Tamandua tetradactyla: one gene and its partners. The protein of the gene in region 1 interacts with the protein of each later gene in a pairwise test. Links are inferred from orthologs where the notes say so. Each region holds a gene or a part of one and is shown on either strand. Other genes may lie near its edges. The genes, in order: LDOC1, ZBTB16, LATS1 and MFAP1.

Region 1 (6,002 bases):
AGGAGCCCAGTGCATTAATTTTGTCCAGTGGAAAGGCATGTGCTTTAGGGTCAGAGAGGCTGGGTTGTGGTACAATGTGGCCAATATTTTTGAGTCCTGGTGTGTTGGTTTGAAAGGATTATGCACCCAAGAAAAGACATGGCTTAATCCTAATCAAATCTTGTGGGAGCAATGTTTATTTATTTATTTTTTTTTAAAGGAAAGACAGAGAGAAGGAAGGAAGGATAGAAGGAAGGAAGGAAGGAAGAAAGGGAAACATCTTTTAAACATTTTCTTGTTTTATTGTATTTTGTTTCTCTTTGTTTTTGTTACATGGGCTGGGGCCGGGAATCGAACCGAGGTCCTCCGGCATAGCAGGCAAGCACTTTGCCCGCTGAGCCACCGCGGCCCGCCCAGCAATGTTTATTTTAATCCATATTCAATAATGCAGGCTGGTATTCTTTGAGTAGATTATCTATGTGGAGCTTTGACATACCAATTATGGATATTAACCTTGGTTTAGAGGGAGATGTGACTCCACCCATTCCACGTGGGTCTTAGAAGCATTTTGGAAAGAACCATGGAGCAGAGAGTCCAGGCAGCCAGAGACCTTCAGAGATGAAGAAGGAATACACCCCCGGGGGAGCTTCATGAAAAAGGAAGCTTGGAGAGAAAGCTAGCTGACATCGCCATATTCACCATGTGCCTTTCCAGTTGAGAGAGAAACCCTGAACTGTATCAGCCTTTCTTGAGGGAAGGTAACCTCTTGCTGGTGCCTTAATTTGAACATTTTTATAGACTTGCTTTAATTGGGACACCTTCATGGCCTTACAACTGCAAACTTGCAACTTATAAAATACCCCATTTTAAAAGCTGTTCTGAAATGCTAGTGATCAATGAAAGGGAGGGGTAAGGGTTGTGGTATATATGCATATTTTTTCTGTTTTAGTTTTACTTCTTCTTCTGAATAGATGCAAATGTTCTCAGAAATGATCATGATGATGAATATGCAACTATGTGATGATATTGTGAATTACTGATTATATATGTAGAACGGAATGATCAAAATAAGAATGTTTGCTTTTGTTTAGTGTTTTTTGGTATTTAAAAATGAAACAATAATAATAATAATAAACAGCTGTTCTGTTTCTGGTATATCATATTCTGGCAGGTAGCAAACTACAATACCTGGCCTTAGCCAAGTCAGTAACTCCTGGGTCTCAGTATCCTTGTCTAATAAGAATAGGGTGTAGTACCCACCTCTGTAACATGGCCTTTGTGCATGGGTTGATTTGACAGCCCAGGTCAGTCACACGGCCCAGTACCTGTCACAGCTTGTGTGTTCCTGGGAGTAGAACCCTGGGCATTTCTTCCATATCAGAGCCTGGACCTAAAAGGTAGAGCTGGACATTTGCCTCTACCCCAGCCAGGCTCTTGTCTAATCTGACCTGTGAATGTGCAGGATGGCCAAAAATCTTCCCCCCAACATTTCAGATCCCTTTATTCCATCCACTGAACATATATGGCACACCTAGTAACACTTTCAGATGATGAAGATGAAAGGATGAAAGAGAGAGGGCCTTTGCTCCGCCCTCAAGGAGCTTATGTCTAAGGGGGGAAGGGGTAGATCATATCACAGGAGGGCTAGGGGTTCACATTCCCACTTACTTCTTCTTTTCCCTGCCCACCCTCTCTCCTAATGACTCTTCTTTTCCTTGCTACTTGAAACTTGACCCTGTTTCTCTCCTCTCTCCCAGCCTCGCTTTTCCAGGGGTGACCATTCAGTTCTATAGCAAAAGACTGAACAAGGTTTTAAAATATCCAGTTGCAATTTTTATTATGCCAATTCTCACTTCACGTTGGAATGATTCATGATTACAGATAGAACATATGGGATAATTTAAAGAGTATTTTTGGATACTGTGCAACCATCACTTCTAATTTTTATCTTTACACCTGTACCCTGAGCTTCCTTCCCTACCCAAACATTCAAGGAGCACCTATTCTGGGCCTTAGGTTTTTCTCAGCTTTAGGGACAGTTACAGCTAACAAAGCAAAATCCCTGTCTGCATGGAATTACATTCTAAAGGTGGAGTCATAAAATGATAAAAGTGCTACATAATATGATGGCCACTGGTGTAACTAGTGCTATGTAGAAAAATGAAGCAGGGTAAGTAGCAGAGGGCCAGGCGTTCCAATAGACGGAGTAGTCAGGTAAATCTACTCCAAAACTAACTGGGGAGACATCCTTCCAAGGTAGAGGAAATAGCAAGAATGAAGGCACTCAACTCAGCAGGTGAACTCACTGCCCTCCCTCCCATGTGTGGCATGACTCCCAGGGGTGTAAATTTCCATGGCAACGTGGGACAGAAATCCTGGGATGAGCTGGCACTTGGCATCAAGGGGGTTGGGAGAGCCTTCTTGACCAAAAGGGGGAAGAGAGAAATGAGACAAAATGAAGTTTCAGTGGCTCAGAGATTTCAAACAGAGTCGAAAGTTTATCCTGGAGGTTATTCTTATGCATTATATAGATATCCCTTTTTAGTTTATGATGTATTGCAGTGGCTGGAGGGAAGTACCTGAAATTGTTGAGTTGTGTTCCAGTAGCCTGGATTCTTGAAGACAATTGTATAAAGATATCACTTTTACAATGTGGCTGTGTGATTGTGAAAACCTTGTGGCTGATGGCTCCTTTTATCCAGGATATGGATAGATGAGTAAAGAAAAGAAAGATAAAAATAAATAAATAATAGGAGGGCAAAGGATAATATAAATTGGGTAGATGGAAATACTAGTGGTCAATGAGGGAGGGTAAGGGGTTTGGATTGTGTGAGTTTTTTCTTTTTTCTTTTTATTTCTTTTTCCGGAGTGATGCAAATGTTCTAAAAACGACCATGGTGATGGATACACAACTGTGTGATTATATTGTAAGCCACTGATTGTACACCATGTATAGAATGTATGTATGTGATTGTATACCATGTATGGAATGCATGTGTATGAAGATTTCTCAATAAAAATATTTACAAACCAACAAACAAAAAGAATCAGCTAGGACAGTGTGGTTAGAGCAGAGCTAGGGATGGGAAGAGACTGGAGTGAGTCAGAGAGAGCCAGTGGCCAGTCACTGACAAGTTAGTGCCCTGGAGGCCATCCAGGACTTTGATTTTTATTCTGAGAGGGGAAACTGTTGGAGGGTTTTGAGCAGGGTGGGTGATGGGATATGACCTTTGTGCGAAGGCTTTTTGTGGCTACTCCGTGAAGAATAGACTGTCAGAGATCAAGAGTGAAAGCTCAGTGATCATTTGAAGCCCTCTGAGTAAGAAACGAAAGCTTGAATCAGGGTAGTGGAAGTGGAAGTGATAAGAAGTGATTAAATTGGCGATTTATTTTAAAAAGCAGAGCCAAAACGCTATGTGCATTCTAAAGTCGTGGGCCAACTGAATTGCTCAACAAGTTTGAATGTGATTATTCAAAGAAGAAACGCAAAATCATTTAGAAGCACAAGCAGCTTATTCATTGCTAAGAAATGCATAATACCCGTGGTCGAGGGGCATTACTAATATTAGACTATGAAATAAAGTCTGCCTGCAAAAGATTATCAGATGCTGATTTTGCAGAAATTTTTATACCGCACTATTAAGAAAAAGTTAAAAAGGAGGAAGTGTACAACATTATTTTCTAACTCCAGAAAAGTCCCTGCTTAAATACCGTTTTCTTCATGTCTCTGTAAGGATTTGTGACTCCCGCAAGACAAGCACTTCTGTGGTCAGTAGGGCCAAATCGATAATCTTCTGGGTGAGTCTATATTCAAAAGCAGGGAAATGTGTTAACAGAACTTCACGCAAATGGAATCTGGTGTCCGCAGATGCACGAAAGAAAACTGAATTGTGCGAGGCAGTCGAAGGTGCGGTGGGATGGCTAATCTTTTCAACTTGAGCGGGTCTGCCCTCTGAAGTAAGGTCTTCCTGCCCTCTGGGTCCTTGGGTTCCAGCAGGGCGCCGCTTCGGGGCTTGGCTGCAGTTCAGCGGCGGTTCCCAGGGTCGGCCGGCCCCTCCTCTGACCACACCCTCCTCGCGCCGGGCTGGCGCGCCGACCGCCCTTGAGGCCTTGTGGGCGGGGCCTGCGCAGCCGCCTGGCCCCCGGCGCGCACCACCCTCCGCCCTTCTTGGCGGCGCGTCTCGGCGGACACGCACTTCCTGCGAGGCTTCTGTGTGGACCTTGACCGAGCCGAATCGAGTGGACCCCTCTGAGCGGTTCGCGATGGTGGACGAACTGGTGTTGCTGCTGCACGCCCTCCTGATGCGGCATCGTGCTCTGAGCATCGAGAACAGCCAGCTCATGGAGCAGCTGCGGCTGCTGGTGTGCGAGAGAGCTAGCCTGCTGCGCCAGGTACGTCCGCCCAGCTGCCCGGTGCCCTTCCCGGAAACGTTTAACGGCGAGAGCTCCCGGCTCCCCGAGTTTATCGTGCAGACGGCGTCTTACATGCTCGTGAACGAGAACCGGTTTTGCAACGACGCCATGAAGGTCGCATTCCTAATCAGCCTCCTCAGCGGGGAAGCCGAGGAGTGGGTGGTTCCCTACATCGAGATGGACAGCCCCATCCTTGGTGATTACCGGGCCTTCCTCGATGAGATGAAGCAGTACTTTGGCTGGGATGACGGCGAAGACGACGACGATGACGATGAAGATGACATTTACTAGGCCCAGAGAGCCCAGGGCCTAGGGTAGGGGGTTAGATGCCCCCGCACGTCGCCGCCACCCTCCTCCTCTTCTCCTTCCTCTCCTCTTTCCCCTCTCTGGAAGCCGCCACACTCCTCTTCTTGCTCTGGCCCTCTTCCCTCCCCCTGCCCAGTCCCCTCGTAGAGCTTGCCTTTGTTCAAAGGAGTGCTCCAGTTACCTGCTGCTCTGAAGTGCTCTACCTGCCTTTCCACTCTGCCAGCCCCAGAACCCCTCCCCTGCGAATATGGACTGTGTCCTGAGCCCCAGTGGTGGGCCAGGTCCCTGCGACACACTGGACAGACAACACCACAGCGGTGCTGCTGCCAGGCCTGCATCTGCCCAGAGACCTACGCTGCCACTTCACCTGCACACATCACATCGCCACAGATCATCGCCTTTGGAGATAAGGACCAACCTCAAAGCTGCCTGAGTTGGCTACACCTCCTTGGACGCTGATTTGGACAGCCCACCAACCCCAGAAGAGGGCTAGTGTTTCAGCCTGTTTTGTTTCCTACCTACTCCCAGAGTCCTCCCCTGCCCCACTAGATTGCTGCAGGGGCCTCGTATACGTGGTAGCCAAATCGTGACATTCTTTTTCTCCTGCGCACCCAGTCTTGCACACTTGTCATTTTTCTTCCAAAATTGCAGCGGTCCCACAGATGTATGCATTTGGACAAAAAACTAAAAATAAACCAAATGAAGGAAAACAGGCTCTCAGCCCTCCTCCTCAGTGCTACCTGGAAAAAACCTTTTCATTCTTTTCAATAAATATCAAGCACTACTAAAAAAAAAAAGAAATTATTGTCTCTTAATGATTAAGTGCTATCACTGATCTTTCTCCCTTCTACTCTGGCTTCCTGTATTCCCACTGAGATCAGGTAACCCAGTTTGGTTACAGCATTCCTTACTGTCATCTGTAAGGCATGGAAGACAGCCACCACGGGGCTTTATAGGGATATTGGTGCTCTCCTCACCAAGGTATTTCTTAAAGCCTTGGTGAAGGGAGTGTCCTCTGGGCCCTCTAGGGTGGCATGGGTGGCTGATAAGGTGGCACATCATCCCACACACGGACAGTTTAGAGAGTGAAAGGGGAGGCTATTAATAATTAGACTTGTACCACAGGCGTAGACCTGGATACATGTACAACATTCCTATTTCCTTGATCCCTTTTGGATTCCTTTCTCAACACTGCCAGGGAAGTTCTGGACACTACTCCTTATTGCTTCTGAGCTGCAGCTGAGTTCAGGCTTCAGTTATCCAAGTAACATTGTTTTAATGCTATTTTCAGGTGCTTGAGTTAA
Region 2 (7,865 bases), on another chromosome or scaffold:
GGTAAAGACGACATGGGGTTGTATTCCCGGACTCTGGTGCTGCTGGTGGTCTCTCTGAGGAGTCCCTTGCCTTCCTAGGCGCTTCCAGGCTTTGTCCATAACTATAGGACTCCTGTTAGAAAACAGGGGCTGTTAAAAATGAAAATTGTTGTATTGAAATCCATAAAGGGAAACAAGTTAAACAGAAGGCTATTTAAAGTTAAACAGCATAAGGAAATGTTACATACTTCCCCTCTTCCTAGCCACCCCCCACCCGCCCCCCACCCCCAAAGAAACACCAAAGTGTTTTTAAAAGGCCGTTTCAGATGAGAACTTGGGGGTTAATTTTCAGCACAGTGTCTGTGGATTTAGCTGTGGGACTCCCATTACCCATAATGGGAATCATGTGGCTTCATTTCATGCACACTGTATGGAAAATGCATCCCTACCCCTTGGTAGCTACAAAATTTTGTTTTTAAAATCGAGGCTGTCTTTCTTGGAACAAAGCAGATTTCCAAAAACACCCCAAACTCCTCAATGTTGGCCCGGGGCCTGTGTGTTTGTGCTTATGTGGGTATGTGTATCCAAAAGAGAGAAAATGCTTTTTTTCTAAGTCCGTATGCTCTCTTTCAAAGACAACAATGTTAAAACATTATGCCCAATAACTGACAGCAGAGGTTGCTATGCCTCACTCCAAAGCTCTGTTAGGAACCCCATAAAACCTGGCACATGGTTTGTGACACCCAGTGAAACACTGTGCATCTTCCATAATAACCTGAGCCCTGCTGCCTATCATTAAGGGACCTCTCTTATTAAGCATCTTTTTTTTAAATGGCTGCCATCATCTGGTCCCAGTGTACATTAAATCCCATTATAATTATAAACACACTTCCCCATAACATCCGCTGCAGATTTCATCCACACTGCCTACCCCCTCAGGGCATCTTTGCACTAATAACAACTCAGATTTGCTATTTGAGTTGACAACATTAAGTCCCAACACCATTTGCAATATGCTGGAGAGAGAAAGAGAATGAAAGAGAAGAAAAAGCTGTCTCTTCTTCAATCATGAGGATCTCGGGGTCACTGTGACCCAAAGCCCTAGGGGCCAAAAGAAATAACCCCTCTTCCTTGCCCTCTGAGCAACTCTCTGCCCTACGGACTAGAGGGAGGGCATATTTAGCAAGTGGAAGAGAAGGCCAAGTTTGTAAATACCGCTAACCAGAGCTCCTCAGGGAAAAGAGGGATGATGGCACTGTCTAATCAAAGGAGCCATCTTTTTATTTGGTTTTCTGGCCCTCAATTAACCAGAATCCACACACCACCTGATTATTTGCCTCCGTTTCTTTTTGAGGTGGCATCTAAGGAAGTAATATGAAAGGCCTGAACTCCACAAACAAAGAAAACTGCCAACCTATGTATTGGGGGCAAATTATACTGGGTCTATTTACTTATTTGTTTTATTTATTTATTTGAGTAGTGGTAGGCTTACTGAAAAATCACCCATAAAGTACAAAGTTCCCAAATAATCAGTCCCCTTCAGTTTTCCCTATTATTAACATTTTGCATTAGTGTTAAATACCCCTGTTACAATCGATGAAACAATATTATTATAATTATACTATTAACTATAGTGTGCAGTTTATATTAGGGTTCATTCTTTGTGTTGTACAGTTCCATGGTGGTTTGTATTTTTTTTAATTCTGGTAACATATATGCAGACTTAAATTTCCATTTTATCCACTTTCAAATATACAATTCAGTGGTGTTAACTGCTTCGCTGTGTTGTGCTACCACCATCATCATCGATTACCAAACCTTTTCCATCACCCCAAACAGAAACTCTGTACCAATTAAGCAATAACTCTCCATTCTTCACCAGCACCCTAGACCCTGGCAACCTGTATTCTAGTTTCTGACTCTATGAATTTACATATTCTAAATTATTTCATATAAACATACAACATTTGTCCTTTGCTGTCTAGCTTATTTCATTCAACATGATGTCTTTTTTTGGGGGGGGTGGTGGGGTGCATGGTCCGGGAATTGAACCCGGGTCTCCCGCATGGAAGGTGGCCATTCTAACCACTGAACTGCCCGTGTACCCTCTTTGGTATAATTTTTTTTTACATGACCTGCATCTATCTAGTAGATGTCTGGAGTGGTGACACTGCAGCATTGTAAGATCCTTTGCCTCCAGGAAAGGACACAATAGGCTTGCTGTGTCTCCCCCTAAGAGTCCCTACTGGGGTAAAGATCTGAGAGTAGAGTGACAGCTTTACTCCAAGGGCCACCTGGAGTTCTCAGTTGAGTGGGGGTCTATTCTTTTCCATTCAGAGGCTTCATTGCCTGCACCCTTCCCTGAAAATGCCTCATTCCCCACCCATCACAAGGTTTTGAGGGAAATGCCAAGTAGATTCTTCTCCCCCAAAGGTAGGCTTCCTTGATTCATTTATCATAATAAGAAAGTTTACATTTATACTTTAAAAATTCTTTCAGACAGGAGTTGGAATAAAAAGAGTTGTAGCATTCCATTAATGCTCAATCAGAATACTCTAAAGACCACTATAGCCTTCTTCTTGGGTATCTGTTTAGTTGAAGCTTTATTGTAATTCAAAACTCCCTCCCCCAACTTCTGCCTGAGATTCTGAAAAAGAAAATTGCAAAGAACCTTAGGGGATCTAACTCCACTTTACTTGGTGGACTGATTCAATGGAGAACTCTTTGGTTGTTAGCTGGGCTGGCTGCTGCATAGACCATGCCCTCAATGGAGAAAGAGGAGGATAATTAAAAGTCCTTGTTTGACTTTTGAAGTTTCCTATCTCGCTAGAGGCTGTGTAATACAGATGTTAAATGCATGAGATTTTCAGTCAGAATGGTCTGATTTAAACTCTGATGTTTTAATAGCTCTATGATCTTGGAAAAGGCTTTAGTTTTCTCATCTATAATAATAGTACCTGTGTTAATAGGGTTATTACAAGGGTTAAATCAAACATTGGTAGTACGTTTGCATTCATAGATCTGCAAGTTCTCTTAGACCAGGTGTACCCTCCTCTTCTAAAACTGAGCTCTGAAAGGGTGCCACTGGAGGGAGGCAGGAGGCGAAGGAGGACAAGAACGAATAGGAAAATCTAGCAATGGACCTCATTCTGTTTCCTAGTCTCCAGCATGATCTCTCTCAGGGACTGTCTCTCCTCCAGAAGCAATGTCCCAACTTCTCTCACAACACCCTTTAAAACAAAAATAAAAATTCATCACAAATCCAGGAACATTAAAAAGAAAAGACAGTTTCCCATAGTAGTTTTCCATCCTGTTTGTTTTTAGGTGTTGCCATATGAAATCTCTGAACTGCGGATTCTCATCAGCCATTCCAGGACCCAAGGACACAGCCTGGCTATAAACAGTGCCAGTTTTGGTGGGGAAGCTGCTGCTGCTTTATCTGGGCCCAATAAACCTTATCAAACTGCTGTGCAGCCAGCCTTCAGCCCTAAGTGAAAATGCTTGGAGCCCAAGGCTGGCATTCAGCCCACAGCCTTGCCTGCCTTTCCTCCTTTTTGTTACCTTCTCCACCTCTTAAATTCAGGCAGTAATCTCTCTTTAACACTTACTAACAAGGGCCAGGCTTTTTTAATGGGCAGAGTTTATGAAGCAAGCGAGATTTTCACATAGAGTGAATATGGCATGGGGGTGGGAGAGTCCAGGGCCAGGGAGGGATTGTTCTTTCTCTTCCATTGTTTCCAGAGATTCTCTCTTTCTCTGATTTGAGGATGAATAGGAGATTAGGATCAGGGGTTAATTGTGTGCTTCTCCTGCTACCAGATTGTGGAGGGGCTGGTAGGTGGATGTGAACAGCCAGGAGGCTCCCTTCTGCCTTCCACATCCAGAGAGCCCAGTAAGTTTAATGATTCTTCTTTCTGTTTCCCTAGTGAGACATTAGGAGGGTCTTTTCTCCTCACTTCCCTCCCCTCTTGCCCTCTGTGCAGAGCAGTTCTTAACTTCCTCTAAATTCCTTTCCTCTTACCCAGTGCACTGGCTATAGCTAGGAAAATAGTAGTCTCTAAATAGGAATTGCACATTATTGTTAATCAAAATTGAACACCCATGGACTGGGCTACACCATGCCCGGGTTTGGGGTGGTGTGCACACTATCTGAGGATAAGTGGTTCCCCGCCTGCATTTCCAAGGGGGCTTCCTGACCGGTCTTCTCTCCTACACAACCTGCTGCGTTTGAGTCCTAATTCAGCAAGTCTGAACACTTTTCTTGCAAGTAGGAGACAAAAGCAATACTTCCTGGGATGGAATGATTGGTGCTTGGAACTATCCTATTAGCAGTTCTTTGGTACCCGGATCAGTTCTGATATGTAAACTCTGCATTCTGGCCTTCTGAGGATGGATGCCGACTTTTGCCACCAGTCGGCTTCCGCCGTCTTCCATTACTCTGCAGCCTGACTCGACCTGAGGCAGTGCCAGAGGGGCGCGTCGGGATGTGATTATACGTGAGCCCAGTAGAAAACCTTCGACCCACGCGTTTCACCGACGGGTCCTGTTCCAGGAGGCGGTGATTGACGCCTCTCATTGCTAAGACTGCCATATCCTCCCGGCTGACTATCCCGAGACCCCTGGATGGCGCTCTCCAGCCATCCTCTCCACCCGGACGCTCTAGGGTGTTATTCCGCCGAAGCCTGGGCTCGGAGGAGCGCTTCCCACCTCAAACTATCTTCCCTTGCCCAGCAACAGGGAAAAGGGGAGAGAGACGCTCTCCGCCGCCTGAGGAAAGGCATGTTTCAGGGGCACTTAACTGGGGCGGCCAGTTGAGAGGAGGAGGTACATTTGAAGGGCCCAAAGCTTCTCCAAACTGAGCTTGGAGCAGGGCGCAGCCAGGTTCCTGGGGGGTAGAGCCGAGGGGATGTACAAGGCTGAGAGGGAGAAAAGTTTGTCAGGCCGCGAACTCGGCCTTCAGCGACCGCGACAGCTAAAATGGGTGGCTCTCCTCAACGACTGATCCCTGCGGACCCTCTGGCACTGGAATCACCAGGGAACGCAAATTCTGCGCCCGGAGACTTCTTGCAATCCAGGTGCGCACCGCCCGAGGCGCGTAGCTGGCGGGACGATGGGGAGCGTGGGCTTGGATTAGGAAGTCAGCCTTTTGTGTGTGTGTGTAAATGTGTGTATGTAGGCACTAGGGATACACCCCGAGTCCGGGGAAAAAGTGAAAGGCGAGAGCTGATACGCTGAATTGGAGCAAACTGGAACCCAGGATAAAATTCCAACCGGGAGCACCGTGAGAAAGCAGAACTCGTGTCCCTACTGCCCCCATCAAGCGTTCCGAGTGCCGTGCACTCCTCTCCACTCGCTCCTTCGCTCCTCTCGGTTAGATCGGCGAGCGGCGACCGCCGGCGCCCTAGCAGCAGCTAGATGTCAGGCGAAGCCCGGAGCGCGGAGCGCGGAGTAAGGGAGGGGAAGGGAGGAGAGAGGGGAGGGGAGGGGTGGGGCTGGGAGCGCGCGCCGGCTCGGCCAGTGTTGGGGGTGGGCGGGCTGAGCCCGGGGACTGCGAGCGAGGGGGAGGGAAGGGGGGCAGCTGTGGGCAGGGAGCCGGGCTCGGCCGCCAGCACTAAAGATGGAGAGGCGCCGGGGCCTCGCAGGGGAGGGGGCTCGACGTTGACGTGGGACGCGGCGGAGGCGCCGCAGCCGGTGGTGATTTGCTAACCTCGCAGCAGAGAGGAGTTGAGGGTGATGAGAGCGGGTACTGCGAACTGCCGGGCTATGCCGCCGCTGCCGCTGTGATACCGAGAGCAACAGTTCCCCAGCAACACCCTTTCCAGACACAGGCACACCCCCCACCCCACAGGCACGCACATCCACCCCACGGCGCCCGGCTCCGCAGCGGTGAGTGGAGGGTCGGGGAGGGGCGCACCGCCCAGCGAGCGCCGCGCACCCGGGCGCCCCGGGGCTGGAGAGGTCTCGGGGAGCGCGCTCGCTTCGGCCACTCGGCCGCTTGATTGTGCCTTATTTGCTTCGGCCTTTTTCCTTCCCTGCTGCTGCAGCCGTCGCCTCCGCCGGTTGGGGAGTCGGCTAGAAGGGGAGCCCGGGCTGTCAGTTTGGACGCAGCTGCTTCTTCAACCTCTCCCTTGCAGGGCACTGTCGGGGTGAGAGGTGGGGGACAGAGAGGTCTACTGGGGATAGGGTGGCTTTGTACCTTCAGGGGCAGGCGGAGGAGCCGGGATCTGGTGGGTGCTCATGTGTATGAGGACGGGTGCGCGGCCGCGAGAACGGCTTGTGGTTTATTTATTTGTGTGTTTATTCGCCCGCCGACGGGGAACCTGGAATCGGAGGATCAGAGGAGTGATTCTGGGGGTGGAAGGGAGCAGGAAAGGGACTCGCTTGGGTTTTGTTTCTCTTTGAGAAACGTGGTGGGCTCTTTTTCTCTCGCTCACTCTATTTTAGGGGGCAGTCACACGGAGCTCTGTAGGGTCTCCAAGGCCCTGGGCCCTCGGTTCTCGGCGGGACTGGCCGAGGGGCCGGAGCTCGCCGTGCGCTCCCGGCCGCGCTCGGTGGGTGCCTGGGCTCTGCACCTGATGCGTTCGGGATGCTTTTCTCACACTCGCGCACCGGCGGCACGCTCGCGCAGTCCCTAGAACACTCCTTCCCTCACACGCATGCAGGCACACACCGACTCTCGTGCGCTGGAAACGCGCACGATCCCGCCGGAACGCGGACCTCCTTGAACGCACAGACGCGCTTCACAACCACCTTCTCGTCCGCTCCGAGAGATGCTTGGAACCCCGCGCAGGCTGGCTGCTGGCGCTTGCCTGCACCCCGGTCCGAGTCTGGGGACCCTGCCCATCGCTCCCTGGGGGTGACGGCCCTGGGTGGGAGAGAGGAGCGGACGACCCCAGCTCGGTTTTTCTCCTACCACTCGCTGCAGGGCTTTTGTGCTTTCTGTGCGCTCCGGGGCGGGTCCGTCTCCTCGCCGCTCTCGCGGTGGCTGTCCAGCCCGCCTGGACTCTTCGCCTTTCAGCCACGTCTCTTTCGCTTTCCCTCCTTCTTAGTCCCGCGTCCTTTCTTTCTGCTGTTTGGCTTTCCGGGAAAAGTTGATTCCCCAAGTTTGCTGAAGTGTTCTCTAAGTCTGCGTGGGGGTCGCTGGGAACTGGGAGTGTGTGTGAAAGCACGACCGATCCTCAGGGATCGAGAGGTTTAGCGCCAGTTTTTTCCCGTGTCGCCGGGCTGGGCGCTGCAGCCAGCGCTGGCCTGATCGCGGGCGCCGAGCTGTGGGGTCGGGAGACATCTGACCAAGAAGCACCTTGATGTCCTTGGAACCCCAGAAATTTGTTTTGGCGAGGCAGTTGGGTAGCCAAGCTTCCATTTTTTCGTCTGCTTCCTTTTAGTTCCTTGATATCCCGAGTTTTGCTGGAAAGCTGGCTAGGGGCAGGTGAATGACCACCCTACTCTTGACGGCTTCGGCCCCCACCCCGGGGTGGGCAGCAGAGGTGTCTTGACTAGCCGTCCCTTTAACCCTCTCTGCCCGAGTGCTGTGACTGGAACCAATAGGTCTTCTTTTGGGGGCGGAGGCAAGCAGTGTTCTAAGAGCAAGTAAGAAACCTTGCTTTGCTTTGCTCCCACTGTGTTTGCTGCAATATTGACCACAGCAAGCCGCAGGTTGGGAGGAACCTGAGCCAGTGAAGTCTTTCTAACATTCCTTGAACAGGTTGGGGAGTCCTAGAGCCCTGTTAATGATCCCAGCCCGGCTCTGGGAGAGGCCTTTGTCTCTCAGCCTGTTTTCTCTTCATACTGGTTGTAAGGCCCTCTGTGGATGCTGGTGCCAATAGAGCTTCTAGCGCCTGGGAGCCATGTCCAGCTTCGCTGCCACTCCTGGTCACAGGACTTGC
Region 3 (7,160 bases), on another chromosome or scaffold:
TAGTTATAGAACCGATTCCAGAGTTTGGTATGGGTTACAGTTCCACAATTTTAGGTTCTTCCTTCTAGCTGCTCCAAGACACTGGGAGACTAAAAGAAATATCAATGTAATGATTCAGCAATCATACTCATTCTACCTTCTCTGTTAAAATTCCACCTTCTCCTTTGATCATTCTCCCAATCTTTAGGGGTATTTGGGCTATGCCCATTCTAAGTTTCTCATGTTGGAAAGGGGTGTTGATAATATGGGATAGGGGTATGGAACTAGTTGATGTTCTTGGAGAGGCTAGTTCCTCTGGGTTTTAGAACTTATCTGGCCTAGGAATCCCTCTGGAGGTTGTAGGTTTCTGAAAAGTATTCATAATGCATGGAATCTTTGTAGAATCTCCAATAAAGCCCTGGGTGATTTTTAGGGCTGGTAGGAATGGTTTTAGTTGGGGTTTGGCAAACCATGGTAAATAACAATATCTAGGTGAAGCTTGTGTAAGAGTAACCTCCAGAATAGCCTCTTGACTCTATCTGAACTCTCTCAGCCACTGATACCTTATTTTGTTACAACTCTTTTCCCCCTTTTGGTCATGAACCCTACCATTTATTTTTTAACTATGACCAATTGCTTTTATTTTTAATTACTAATAGCAGTGCAACTTACTGATATTTATAAATAATGGTAAATGAATTGTACTAAATTAAATCTTCCATTTTAATTTTGGGGCACTTTACATGCTCTATGGTTTTGTGGTTCCACTTCTCACAATAAGCATTAAACACCAGGGCAAAGCTCTCCAGCAGACTCCTCCCCACCAAATTCAAAGGAACAAAACAAACTTTCCTTTAACAGTCATTTTAAAATCACAAAAGATTACACTTGTTTCTGGATTTCAAACCCATGGGACTAAATGGTACCAAACTGTAGCATCCTGCCATATTTCTTTTTAAAGAAATTATACCCAATCCTCAAGGCCCCATCCAAAAACTTCCTTTTTCACTAAAGCTTTCACTGAACTCCCAACTGTTATTCTCCTCTGAACTCCAAATGCACTTTACATGAGTTTAAATAAATATGACCATGTTTTTTGTTCTATTCATGTTCTTGTTTTATTTTTCAAACTAGATCACACATTCACAAAGTATAGGGTATACTGGAAATAACATTTTCAGATGAGGAAAGGGATCCAGAGAAGCAAAGTGGCCTGCCCAAGATCTTATAGCCAGCTGGACTCTACATATAAACTCCACATAACCTGGCCCAGCCCAAGGTTATTTTATACATCCTGAGCTTCCTGAGGGTAGGGTCATGACTCGCACATTCACAGATGGGTTACTTAAATTGGTTAGAATGAACAGTCTTAAAGTCTCCACTTCCTTGAAAGTTCAGACTTTCATCAAAAGTACAAACATCAGTAAATGCAAACAAATACTGTTGAGTATCTTGCCAATGCTAAGGAATAAAACTGGAACTGTTACATAATAAGATTTCCAAGAGTTACATTGGGTTGCACTAGGATTATAAAAACATGGCCTTTCTCAATTTTTCAAATCGATCAGTTATGAGAATATCAGCAGTAATATGTGCTGCTTCTTTCTTAGCAGCATAAGTCTTCATCGTCTTAGTTGTTTGAATTTATGCAATACTGACATTTTGAGTCATTTTCTAAGAATTAATGATTGAAACTGAAAATAATCACTATATTTATCTTCATACTGAAAAACTGATTGCCATTCTTACCTAACAAAAATCTTGTGATTTACAAAAATCCCTCATTGACCTAAATATAACATTTAGAATGATAAAACTAAGTAGCCAGAGTTCTGACTGTTCCAACACTATAATTTAGAACAGGGACTAGCATTACACACAAAAATTAAATATTGGTTGGAATCCCGATATCGTACAAAAAAAATGTTAGTAGAAGAATTTTTTTACTTGCTTTTAGAGAATAGCAAAGCACATTCAATCAATAGGTAGGATTAAAAAGAATGTTCTTTCCACCGCATGGGCCATGATCTAGTTTCTCCCTTAGCAGCCGATCAGAAGAGCACAATGCTACTTCTTTTACTGTTAAATCAGTCAAATTCCTCCCCTGCCTTAGGAAATCAACGAGCCCATTTTACCTGTCAATGTATTAAAGGACAGAAGTATTCTGAGTTAAAACAATTACAAACCTTAGTATCGTAGTACAGAATATCCATTTCAATTATAATTTCTTTCTCCTGGAGGAAATGAAACATTTTTAACCTTCCATAAACAATCTGTAAAAGCCTGACAAGTTTCATGTTCCCGGGCACTCAAATCCATTTTAAAAGCTGAAGTGATACAACAGTATTTTTTTTTTTTTTTTTGAGTGAGACTATACTTACTTTTCACTAGATTTAGAATAACTTCTTCTCTTTTACTGTTTTCTCTTGACCTTCCACCCTGGTCACGACAGACAGACACGCGGGACTCATGCGTGGGGGTGGGCGGAAGAGAGCGCAGGCTGACAGTTCGCCGGCTGCCACCGGCACCGCAGGCTCTGCCCGGCAGAGCGGCTCCTCGGAGGCCCAAGGCCTGGAGGCTCTCCCTGCAGGCCAGGCGCGGGTTCCCGGGGCAAGGATCGGTTCCGACCATCGCCAGAGGCGGGTTCGGCCCGCACAGGCCGGCTCCGGCCTTCGGTTTGCCAGCCTGCAGCAGCCCCTGGACCCAAGCTAGCGGGGACCGCGTAGACCGGCGGCCACAACCCCATAGACTAGGGCTTGGGAGGAGAGGAAGCTGAACCCGCTATACCGCCCCAGACCTACCTGCAGGGGAGAGCGGGACTCCTGGACAGCGGCCACGGGCCCGTGGCGGGCACCGAGGCTGCCGGAGCGCGTTGCGGGGCCCCAAATATCCCGGGAGGAAAAGAGGGAGCAGACAAGGAGAGGCGGGCAGCACCCGTCGCGAAGTCGCGGGCACCTGGTTTTCCGCTCAGCACCAGGCCACTAGCGCCACCACCACCGTCGCCATTTTGCCTTCCACTCCGTCGCCGCCGCCGCAGGTTTCCCGGATGTGGGCATTTCCCGGCGTCGCTTGCGCGGTCAGGTCTGGCGGGATCTCGCTGGCAGGCACCCTAGAGCCAGACTCCACTGGAGCGAGCGCGATGCCGGTGGACCCCGGTCCGGTCTTCAGGTTCCCAGGACTCGGGTCCCCGACCAAACCCTTAAGACCCGGTGACCCCGGATCCCTAGACCTTCTGACCTTGGGAACCAGCACCCGGGCCCTATGGACCTCCGATCCCGGGCCCTACCCCTGAGCCCGGGTCCTGGATGAGTCTTCCTGGACCCGGAACTCCAGATTTCGGCCGGCGCCTCTCTGCTGCAAGTCAGTGAGCTTCGCCCATGTGGCGCCTGCCTTTTTCGGTCCAATGATTCGCCCCGTTTGTGGGACAAGGCCCTTCCCCCGCCCATGCCTACCCCTTTCTATTTCGATCTTTCTCTTTTATCTGTAGAGTTCTTTCTATGGATCGGTCTTCAGGAGCTTAATTCTCTGAAGAAGGAAACAGCAGTGAGTTGCATTCTGAAACCTCGCTGTGGACATCAGATTCAGGATTTCTAGAGGCTTTGATTTGTTTATCATACTTTACCCTTAATACACCTTTGAGCTTCAAGAATATGTATTTTCTGAAATCAGCCAAATAATACCTTCCTTGATCACGGCAAATTGTTGAACAGCTTTTAGATCTTTGTCCACCATTTAGATAGAAAGAGAGGTAATATTGCTATAATTAGAATAAGAGTGAGGGATGTGAGTTTTATTTCCTGTTAAGTTGAATTGAAAGTTTGGAATAGGATCAGTGGGTGTCTTAGTTTGCCAATCTATTTGGGTTATTTAGAGAAACAGAACCAAAATGAAATATCTATAAATATGAAATTTTATAAAAGTGTTTCATGCACCTGTGAGACATGCATGAGTCCAAATTCCATAGGGCCAGTTGATAACAGGCCACTCCGACAAAGCCTCTGGAGAGGCTTGCTGAAGAAATGAAGGTTCTCTCTTCTCCCTTAAAAATCTTCAACTGATTGCTTTAAATTAAAAGGCTTCAACTGATTGGATTTTCTCATTGTGGAAGATACTCCTTTAGTTGATTGTAGGTGTAATCAGCCACAGATGCAGTCAACTGACTGATGATTTAATAAACCAGTCTTTTGGTTTATAAACCAGCCAGGAAATGTTTTTGAATAATGGTTAGGCCAGTACTTGCTTGACCACACAACTGGGCACCATCACCTGACCAAGTCCGCACATGAACCACAACCAGGCTGCTATGACAAATACCACACAATGTGTTGGCTTAGCAACAGGAATTTATTGGCTCACAGTTTGTAAGGCTAGAAGTCCACACTCAAGGCAGGAGCAAGACCATGCTTTCTTTTCCCAAATTGTGTAGTTGCCACAATCCTTGGGGTTCCTTGACTTGCATCTCTGCCTCCTGTCACGTGATGATCTCTCCTTGTGTCTGCTCCTTGGGTTTCTGCTGACTGCTAGCTTCTGGCTCCTGGCTGCTCTATGACCTTCTCTGAGCTTCTCTAACTTCTCTTTATAAAGCTTCTAGTAATATGGATTAAGGCCCACCCTGTGTCAGTTCCTCACACCTTAATTAAAATAACATCTTAAAGTTTTGTTTACAATGTGTTCACAGCTACAGGAATGTAGACTAAGATGAAGAACTTGTATATGGTTGCGGTACATAATTCAGGCTTAATAGTCACTGGGTTTGTGATGTTTGGAGGCACTGTCCACCCTTTGTGAACAAAGCCTTGCCAGTTCCAGCCCTAGAAAATATATACAAATAGCATTTTCAAATATCTCCTTTGTTCCTTTTTCTGTTAGAGTAAAATTTTTGTTTTAAGAAAATAAGCTAGCATATGACCCAGCAATTCCACTTCTTGGTATATACTCCTGTGTCAGTTTGCTATGCTGCAATATATACCAGAAATGGGTTGACATTTACAATGAGGATTTATTAATTTACAATTTACAGTTCTTAGGTCATGAAAATATCCCAATTACGGCAGAAAACATCCCAGTTAACGCAGAGCACAGGTATCTCTGTGCTGCCAGCATCTGAGACACCTCTGTCAGATGGGAAGGCACATGGCCAGTGTCCCAGGTTTCGTTGCCTTCAGGTCTGGTTCTAGTGGCTTCCTCTGTGGGTCCTCTTAGGTCCTCTGGGGGTTTTTCTCTCCAAGCTCTGAGTGTTTCTCTATGAGATCCCTGGGCTTTTTCTTTTTCTGTCTTTTATCCTGTCACAAAGAACTCTAGTAAAAGGATCAAGACCCACCTTGAATGGGGTGTGTCACATCTCAATTGAAATAACCTAACAAAAAGGTCCCACCCACAATAGGTCCATACCTACAAGAATGGATTAAAAGACATGGTCTTTTCTGTGGTACGTAAGAGCTTCAAACCAGCACAATCCCAAAAACTGGAAGTATCTGACTTGAACAGATACTTGTACACTAAAGTTCATAGTAGGGTTATCCCCAAAGGTAGCCAAAAGGTGGATGTGTCCATCAACAGATGAATGGATAAACAAAATGTATATACATATAATGGGATCTTTTTCAACTGTAAAAAGTAATGAAATTCTGATATGTGCTATATGTGCTAGAACACAGGTGAACCCTGAAGACATTGAGTGAAATAAGCCAGACACAAAAAGACAAATATTGTATGATCCTACTTATATACAATACCTAAAAGAAGCAAATTTTATAGAGACAGATAATAGATTATAGATTACCAGGGGGTAGGGAGGGGAAGAGAGAGTTATTGCTTAATGAGAGCAGAGGTTCTGTTTGAGGTGTTTAAAAAGTTGGGGTAATGAATATTGGTGATAGTAACACAATATTGTGAATGTTACTACTGAATTGCACCTCTGAAAGTGGTTAAAATGGGAAATGTTGAGTTGTACATATATTACTGCAATAAAATATTCAGATACACAATCCTGAGTAAGACAAGCAGGTATGTGAATATATTAGTTCATATAATTCATATAATTTTAGGGCCGAAAGGAACCTAAATGTTATTTAATCCTCCATTTGAAGAAAATAACACCTAGGGCTATTAAGTGGCCCACCTCCGGTCATATCCCCTAACTTTCACAGATTGGAACTTAATCTTTTATTTTAAAAGCATTTTTTCATTTGAATTTCTGGATACAGTCGCCACTAGTTACTTTAACATCAGGAAAAGAAGTCTAATTTTTTTTTTAGCTTTTCATTGTAGCAACATACATAACTCAAAATTTCCCATTTTAACTACTTTCAGGTGTGTTATTCGGTAGATTAGTAGCAATCACAATATTGTGGTACCATCACCAGTATACATCTGTAAGATCCTATTGCCCCCAGAGTCTTGTCACCTCTGTCACCAATCTAAGAATCTTCTTCACTTAAACTCCTTGGTTTTCTTTAAGCCTAAAGGAGCCTATATTTGTAAACCATTGTCCTTAGAAAAATTTTTAGATAATTCAAGGAGTGCAGTGCATTGCCCTGTGTGGGACTATGAGAAGATTTACTACTATGAAGTAGTAGGGGAGAAGATCAGGGAAAGGAGACAAGGAATGATCAGGAGAGAAGGTACAACTGACAAGATGGAAAGTGGCTGTAACTGTGCAGCATGAAAGGGATGCTGGACATGTAAGAATGGCAAAGACTGACATTGCATTTGAAGGTTTTTCTTTTGCTGTTATAGAAAACCCTTCAATGTTTTATGGGGGGTGGTTGTGGTTTCATTTTGTCATTAGCAATAGATAATGGGGGCCAAATTTATGCTTGGGTGCTTGTACCAAGGAAGAGGTAGCCCACATCTATGAAGTGTGGAGACCAATGTGGTCCTGAGCATATCAACCTTCCCCAACTCATACGATCTAAGGGAAGGATTTGGAATCACACAGGTTGTGGAAATCAAGGTCAGAAGAGTAGGGTCCCATCACATTATACATCAGATGTCTTAATTTGTGCAAGTGTAGTCAAGGTTTCCAGTTCTTTGTTAGACAATTGATTCCTGTGATTTTTCTTGTTCATTTTCTCAAGACTTGTCTCAAATAGGATGACCCCTCATCTAGAATCCTGAGTAACAGAAATAATGTGCTAAATTGATCATCAGGATTTTATTAATCTCTTTTCTCAAATGAA
Region 4 (7,906 bases), on another chromosome or scaffold:
AAAACATAAGGTGGATTTCATTTATGAACATAGATACAAAAAATACTAAAAAACATAAAGCAAATTTATTCCAGCAATATAAAAACAAACAAACAAAAACCTCAAGCCATCATGACAGATTAAGATTTAGCTCAGGACTACAGGGGATGGTTTAAACTTAGAAAAACAGAGGGTATTCTTATTTTGTTCCTATCACACCTTCTAGTCGACAGTGTATTATGATTCTAAGTTGGGCAAGAAGAAAAAGGAAGAGATAAATGGTGTAAGGACTAAAAAGAAAGAAACTGCCATAATTTACAACCATATGATTCTCTATGTAGAAAATACAAGATAGACAAGCCCAGAAAGTTCAAGCTCAGAGAGCTGAATAAAAGACCTACATATAAAAATGAATTTATCTGTACATTGGTTCATATAGTTAGAAAACGTAGTTTAAAAATATAATTTATAAAAGCAACTAATCTATAAAGAACCTAGGAATAAAACTCAAGAAATGAGATGCAAGGTTTTAGGAAGAATAATAAAAAATTTTACTGAGCGATATGAAAGATCTAATTAAATGTTTTATTGAGAAATACATCATGTTCATGAGAAGACGGTGACCATGCCTGAGTTAATCTATAAATTTACAATTTTTAATGTAGTTCCATTCCCCAGATTGATTTGAAAATCATATGGAAAGGGAGGCTAAGAGCCAAGACGGTTCTGAAGACAAATGAAAGGTCCTCTGTACCACATAATGTGGAGGTTCCCTGTACCAGAGCAAGGCTTATTTAAAGTTATAATATTTAAATAATATATTCAGATTATAAAGGTTTTCTAACATATAAGTGTTATATGCACAATTATTCAAATAGGCTCTAAGTTAAAGATCTTTCAGTTTAGTAGGGGATGTAAATATTTAAGATGTTTTTCATACTTTGGTCTTTAATTCATCTGGAATTTTGTTTGTATGTGGTATGAGTTAGGGATCTAATTTTACCTTTTACCATATGGTTAGCTAATTGTCCCCACTCCATTGACTGAATAGCCCATCCATTTCCCACTGATTTTTTTTTTTTTTTTTGGTATGGGCAGGCATCGGGAATGGAACCCGGGTCTTGGGCATGGCAGGTGAGAACTCTACCTACTGAGTTACCGTGGCCCACCTTCCAACTCTCCCATTTTATTTTCATTTCCCACTAATTTTTAATACTACTTCAATACAGCAAGTTCTCAGACGTGTCTTTTCTGTCCTTTCTGTTCTGCTGGTCTCTATGTACCCCTAACATCACATAAAGACAAAATTCAGATGAATTAAATACCCAAACATGAAAAAATCTAAAACATTTACATCCCCTACTAAACTGTAAGATCCTTAACTCATTTGTATCATTATACACACAACACTGAGATGTTAGAAAACGTTTAGAGACTGAATATCTATGATCTCATTGTAGGGAAAGATTTCTTAATATGCACAAAAAGCATAAACCATAAAAAATATATAATTACACTAAAACTAAAAATATTTCTGTAACAGAAGACTCCATAATTAAAGTTACAAGAAGAGCCAAAAAAAAAAAAAAGAGGGAAAAAGACATTACAGATTTGAAATGTATGAAAATAAAACCAAACAAAAAATGGGCAAATGAAAAAAACATGTAATTCACAGAAGATAAAACCCAGAGAGCTGAAAAATACACAAGCAAAATGCCCAGTCTCACCTGTAATCAGGGAAATGCAAATTAAAGTATTGTACTACCATTTCACAACTATTAAACATAAATTTAAAAATCTGATACAACTAAGTGTATGGATGACTACATGGGGAAATAAAAACTCTTTTTCCCTTGTAACCCATTTTGGAGATCAATTTAGCAATAGGTAGTAAAGTTGATGATGAACTCCAGGAGTCTACCCTAGAGAAATTCTCATTCACACATTTAAGAATGATGACTGTAGCACTGTTTGTAATTTGTAAGCTATAGTTTAGTTGTCATGTAATTCATAAGCAGTTAAAATTAATTAAATCTATGTGTACTGGAAGGATAATTCTCAAAAGTCATGTTATTTAAAAAGAAAGGCAAGCGGCACAGGGGTAGGTATAGTATACTTATAAAGCAAAAAAGAAAGAACTGATAATATTTTCCAACTTCCTTACTGAAAAAACTGGCTGTTCCACAGCACTTGGTTTATACCTATTGGACAGGAACCACAAGACTGTACACTGCTTAGAATGTGCCTCTTTTTGCATGTCTTACGTCTACTAGAATATGAGTTCTTGAAGGTTATAGGCACTGCCCCACACCACTTTATATTCAATTTAATAAGCACAGCCACTGCATTCGTTGAAAGGGATGTAAAGCTGAATAAGACATGGTTCCTGCCTCAAGGAGCTTATAAAATTATGATCTAGCAAAGGGGAAACAGGCGCATAAATATCTTTGATAAGTTATAATAACAACATTAACAAGCTACCATGTGGGATAAAAAAGGAACTGCAGGCATTCAGTATACATTAGTCTATGAATCGATGGAGGCCAAGGGAAGAGAGGTGCTTTACGTAAAAGCAGGCAGGCCATAAAAACAAGCTCAGATACAAGTGGTTTTGCCCCCCCTCCCCCCAATACTCCATCTCCCCAGACAATGCGATCAGGTGCGAGTTTAAGGTGGGAAGGTCGAAGAAACTGGAGGACGTGTCGGCAGGGTTGGGGTGGTCGGCTCGGGGGATGGGTTGGGAAGATGCTGGGGCAGAAACAGGTAAGATCCCACTGCAAAGAGGCTCAGCACAGTACCTTTCTCATTGCGAACTGGAACGGCTCCAGCCGTAGACTGAATGGGCGGTTGTTTCATGAGTGCGCTTGGGACCGACATGTTGATGGCAGCGGCGGTGACTCCCAGAACCTAACTGATTCTAAACAGTGAACACGACAACGTCAACCAACAAGAAAAAAACTTCCCCCTAGGTCCACCGGACGCGGGTGCAAGACTGAGGGAAACTCCACTTGCGTCTGGGCTAGACAAACCGGAAATATGTGACCAGAGGATTGTGGGATATTGGAGGACGCCTGGGCGCCTGTGCCTAGGAGGGCGAATCTGTTACTGCGCATGTTCATAGACTGACTTCGCGTCTTCAATATTGCAGGATTTGGAAGCCGCTTCTGGCGGGAAATTGCTTCCTTTAGGCTTTGCGACGAAGAAGGTCCGAATCAAAAGTTTCGCTTGTTATCTTGGTTTGAAGCCGAGGGTAATGGTGTAGTGATGAAGGAGAAATTGAGGAGATAGTGAGGGGTTGCTTGTCCTGATTGTTGAAATTTCAGAAGGATTAGAATTGGGTCCGGATAGTAATCCTGCTAATAATGGCATCTTAATTAGCTTAGTTAATGAGGCTGTGGTGGCCTGAGGTATGGTATTTAGGTCACACGCTAGCAGGTGGTGGTGGTTTTGGCCAGTTGCAAGGAAAAAAAAAAATCCCGAAGCGCCTAGGAAAATACCTGAAATTCCAGCACTCCATTTTAGGCTTTTCAGGTTCTTTCAGTTTCTGGAGGACGACTATTAGAATACTTTTTTTTTTTTTTTGCAGGAAAGTGTTTGTAGATTAACAGCCAATAAGTAATGATTGAATACTAACTGTGTTCACCAGGCTTAGCTGTTCGTAAGGAGTATGTAATATTAAAAGACTGGCATCCTTATGTTGCTTGGATTCTAATTTGAAAGTTTTCAAGGACATCTAGAATCATAATAGAAACCGCCCCAATTTACTAGCTACGTTGTATTAAAAAATGGCTAATTGGAAGTCAGAACACATTTTAGGGGACAAAGGAAATAATGTGGCGGGAAAGAGAAAAATTACAGGGTACCTGTGGGATACCATGAAGTTTGGGTTTATCTGCTAGTAACTTTTTAATATGAGAGTGGTGAAAGTTGTGTGAGTATCAGATCATGGAGAGACTTGAAAGATGCTTTAATATGATTAATTCTCAAATTATTTCATCTGTGTTCTAAAACTTAGCTTAGTCTGGAAGAAGAATTGAAATTGGGCAAAGGACATTGGGTGGCCAAAGTAACCAATCAAGGGAGCAATTTGGGGCTAGGATGAAAAGGGCCTTAAAGACAATTTTCTATTAATGGATTTATCAACTCAAAAAATTATGGTATCAAGAGGGAGTAAATCTGATGGGAAGGCAATTGTTTTGGCTCATAGTAACTCAAAATATAGAAAAAAGTTTTAATATGGATATGACTAGAAATACAGTGCACTAAAATCTTGTAATTTGTGTGTATATATATATATATGTGTGTGAGCATCCATTATTGCAGCACCATTTCTTGAATTTGGTTGGTTGGTTGGTTTTTTGTTTGTTTGTTTGCTTACTTGCTTGTTTGTTTTTGGGAAGTGCATGGGCCAGAATCAACCGGGTCTCTCGCATGGCATGCGAGAATTCTACCTTTGAACTACTCTTGCACCCCTGCAACTTATAGTTTGATACACAAATTATTTGATTTGTAACTCCTTCTTTCCAGCCTCTGGGCCATTTAAAGTCATCATTAGGGTCATGGTTAACCGGTAGGAAGATAGTCAAATATGAATTTTAAATCAGTTATCAGCCCTTGAAAAAAATCAAAATGCTTCCCTTCGTAGGGAGAAGATCCTGCAGTAGCAGTAGGTTAAGTTGGTGATGGGGTAATAAGGAGCCAGTGGGCCAAGGTATAGGCTGCATGTTGATTTTGTTGTACCTTCCCTACATTGCACACCCAATCTAGGTGCTTCTCAGTCTTTCCCAGGCTACATCTCCAAGGCAAATGAGCTACTTTTTCAAAGCGAGAACCCGGCAATACCAGAATTAAAATCACCGGCATTCAAGGTAAAACTGCCGATTAGGTCCCACCGCATCCTTAAAGCATTTTAATCTTAGGGTGAGGCAGGTAAACCTGCCTTCGTCAATGCTGATCACAGTCCTCCCCGCCCGGCCAGCTGACACCTGAGCCTGGAAGCGCCTGGGGGGGGGCGCGGGGCGGCTTCTCGCACCCGCCGGGCTCCGCCCCTCACGGCCAGGCCCCTCCCACCGCCGCCTCCCGCCGATCTGTTGGCGGGAAGGCGCCAGCTGCTGAGAGCCAAAACGTGTCCGAAACATGTCCGGGTCCTGCGCGGCGTCTGGGGAGGAGGTGGGCTCCAGGCAGCGACCCCAGGTAAGGGTGAGAATCGGGTTGACACCTTCTGGTGTTCTTCTCCTTCAGTATTCTTGAGGCAATCTTCCCGGCACAGGCCCGAAAGCACGGGTATATGGCCCAGGGTACTTCTGCGCTCTTAAATTATTCCCCGCCCTGGGTGCAGATTGCTGGGCTTTTTTGGGGGGTGTTGCTTCAAAAGATAAGCGAGATTCCCTGCTATGTTTTTTCTCTGTGGAAAACTAGGCCTTCAGTGTTGAGAAAAGTTCTTGTCAATAACCTCAGAGATAGCGGCACACATCGGATTAGGCACTCCTTTTCTCCTGCCCCCTGCGTTTGCATTTGTAGTTATTGTCAGCGTCACAGTAAACAATTCTAAAGTTTCAGAAGCTGACAGTTGGGATAGTCTTGTCAGTTAAAAATTGTAGTCCTAATTATTGCTCTGACAAACTCATATATGCAAGAAATGGGCTAGTATAATAATTACATTCAGTTAAATGAATTAGGTATCGATTTTGAAGGGGAAGAAAAGTTTTTCTTACAGCTTATCACTTTGGATTTATATTGTGATTAAGATATAGGAATTAGATTTATTTTTACAGATCTATTGGGGACCTTGTAAGAAAAAGCGTAAGACCTGAGTTTCTAATACTGTTTTTCCTTTACTGACCTGAATAGGTGAATGAATATAAAGAAAATGAAACCATCACTTCTGTATCTCTGAGACCAATTCAGTCTCCAGTTTTAGGAAAATCAGTTAAGTTTTGTCTTATCCCCTTTTCACTCTGTAATTACAAACTAGACCAATTTAAGTACTCTAAATCCCTATTAGAAAAGAATTCTAACAAGGAAGTAGTGCTGTGTAAGAAGACTGAAATAAAGAAAATTTGCAGAGGGATTTTAACTCCAAATATGGAAACCACTTCCGAGGCAGAATCCACTCTGCAAAAATCATCCTTAGATGTTCATACTGAAAATAACAAGTTACTGCCGAGCACTTCAGATGCAGTGTTTCTCAGTGTTGATGTGGAAAGCTGTCAGGATCGAGACAGTGATGGAGATACCACACCAGGCCTGGTAAGAATTTAATTAGTTGTTTGTTTTAATTTTTCTTATTGTTTTGAAATTTGAGGTTCTGAGAAGTTAAGGTTATCAAGGGTCTCTCTTGGCCAAACAAATTATTTTGTCATCTAATGGATTGAATTGAAATTTTATTATTTTAAAAATATTTAACCAGTTAGTTCCTTGGGTTAATTTTTCTCTTGGTTTTGATGTGTTGAAGAGAGATTGACTTTCAGTCTTCACTCTGCTTCCCTCTCAGGTTATTGCATATGGTTTTGGGTTTACACATTCAATTATAGCTTTTTTTTTTTGTCATGGGCACGCACTGGGAATTGAGCCCAGGTTTCTGGCATGGCAGGGGAGAACTCTTTCACTGAGCCACCATGGTCTGTCCTCAATTATGGCATTTTACTTATTTTACCTTTACATTACCCGTATATTAGAAGAAGTCAACTTGTGGGACATGTGACATTTGAGTGAGCCTTCATGGAAGGGTAGGAAAACCATCATTAATTGCATTGATGTATTCAGTAATAGTTCCTTTCAAATACAGAGACAGATGAAACACTTATCAGTTCTGTATAAAATAATAGCTTGAATCAGTTTATGGAACTAGGTATCTCATTCCTTTGGCTTCTACTACCTTTCTGGAGTGTTGTGCTCTGTTCAGTGACAAATTTTACTTAAGCCAAATTGAGACCATAGCACATGACAGCAGGTTGATGGAACTAGGGGAATAAAAAGTGATGGTAGAGAGAGGAAGGTATGATAATTGAAGCGTTGTTGTTATGAATTAGGAATTAGATTTATGCTTTATTGTCCCAGAGGTGAGAAAGGACCTATGGTGGGAGAGCACTGGGTGAGTCATACACGTGGACACTTGGAAGTTGGGATCTCTGCATTCAACTTCTAAGAGACTGTGTGCCTTTAGGCAAATTACCTTTACAATGAGAAGATTGGGTTAGATCGTAGTTGTCAAATTTTAACCTTTATCAGAGTTGCCTGGAGGGCTTGTCAAAACATGACTGCTGGGTCCCAACCCTAGAGTTTCTGATTTCAGAAGTTTTGTGGTAGGGAATAGAATTTGCACGTCCTAGAGACATTGATGCTGCTAGTCTGGAATTGCACTTTGATAACCACTGGATTAAATGATCTCTTTGGCAGATTTTAGTTTGATGTGAGGAATTAGAACATGAGGTGGTGTGTACAATATAGTCAAGCAGAGTCATAAATGCCCAGTATAAATTTTCTTAGGACAAACTGCAATATATAACATTTTTTATAGAATACTTCATTCTTTTGTTGTCTTTCCTTGTATTAAATGTCCTTTTGAAATAAAATGACTAAGGCTTTCTGACACCATGCTTTAGTTTATAAGGTCATCCTTTTCCAAGTGAAGAGAGGCTTTTGTCATATCATAGATAAGAGTCTTGGCCTGCAAGTCTAAGATTTTGTACTAATTTCTTGGAAATTTTCTAAATTTTATCTCCCACCCCTTCTATTAAATATTTTCATTTCACAAAGAATTTCTTAACAGTTACTTTTGAGATAATTCTATACTTAACAGAAGAGTCGCACAGTAGTACGGAGAGCGCCCATATACGTTCACCCTCCCTCCCGTTATGTTAATATCTTTTACAACAATCGAGCATTTATCAAACTAAGAAATTAACCTTAGTCCAATATTGTTTAC

The links.
Region 2: the proteins of LDOC1 (region 1) and ZBTB16 interact in binary tests that used the Homo sapiens proteins (3 or more experiments, as listed by UniProt). The two-hybrid records come from large-scale screens. The link is inferred for Tamandua tetradactyla from reciprocal best matches to the Homo sapiens genes LDOC1 and ZBTB16.
Region 3: the proteins of LDOC1 (region 1) and LATS1 interact in a two-hybrid assay, tested with the Homo sapiens proteins (2 studies listed by BioGRID and IntAct). The two-hybrid records come from large-scale screens. The link is inferred for Tamandua tetradactyla from reciprocal best matches to the Homo sapiens genes LDOC1 and LATS1.
Region 4: the proteins of LDOC1 (region 1) and MFAP1 interact in binary tests that used the Homo sapiens proteins (3 or more experiments, as listed by UniProt). The two-hybrid records come from large-scale screens. The link is inferred for Tamandua tetradactyla from reciprocal best matches to the Homo sapiens genes LDOC1 and MFAP1.

The regions. Positions count from the first base shown.
Region 1 is NC_135353.1:16,899,017-16,905,018, reverse strand, and holds LDOC1 (protein LDOC1), read left to right. Parts: upstream 1-4,122; 5' UTR 4,123-4,242; coding exon 4,243-4,683; 3' UTR 4,684-5,488; downstream 5,489-6,002. UniProt on the Homo sapiens protein: May have an important role in the development and/or progression of some cancers.
Region 2 is NC_135334.1:26,938,972-26,946,836, reverse strand, and holds the start of ZBTB16 (zinc finger and BTB domain-containing protein 16), read left to right. Parts: upstream 1-4,859; 5' UTR 4,860-5,054; intron 5,055-5,566; exon of another isoform or gene 5,567-5,865; intron 5,866-5,938; exon of another isoform or gene 5,939-6,125; intron 6,126-7,865. UniProt on the Homo sapiens protein: Acts as a transcriptional repressor. Transcriptional repression may be mediated through recruitment of histone deacetylases to target promoters. May play a role in myeloid maturation and in the development and/or maintenance of other differentiated tissues.
Region 3 is NC_135328.1:141,250,546-141,257,705, forward strand, and holds the start of LATS1 (serine/threonine-protein kinase LATS1), read right to left. Parts: upstream 3,012-7,160; 5' UTR 2,781-3,011; exon of another isoform or gene 2,465-2,780; intron 1-2,464. UniProt on the Homo sapiens protein: Negative regulator of YAP1 in the Hippo signaling pathway that plays a pivotal role in organ size control and tumor suppression by restricting proliferation and promoting apoptosis.
Region 4 is NC_135340.1:58,064,177-58,072,082, forward strand, and holds the start of MFAP1 (microfibrillar-associated protein 1), read right to left. Parts: upstream 3,019-7,906; 5' UTR 2,857-3,018; coding exon 2,778-2,856; intron 1-2,777. Other genes in the region: WDR76 (WD repeat-containing protein 76), read left to right, coding at 5,116-5,172, 5,830-6,228. UniProt on the Homo sapiens protein: Involved in pre-mRNA splicing as a component of the spliceosome.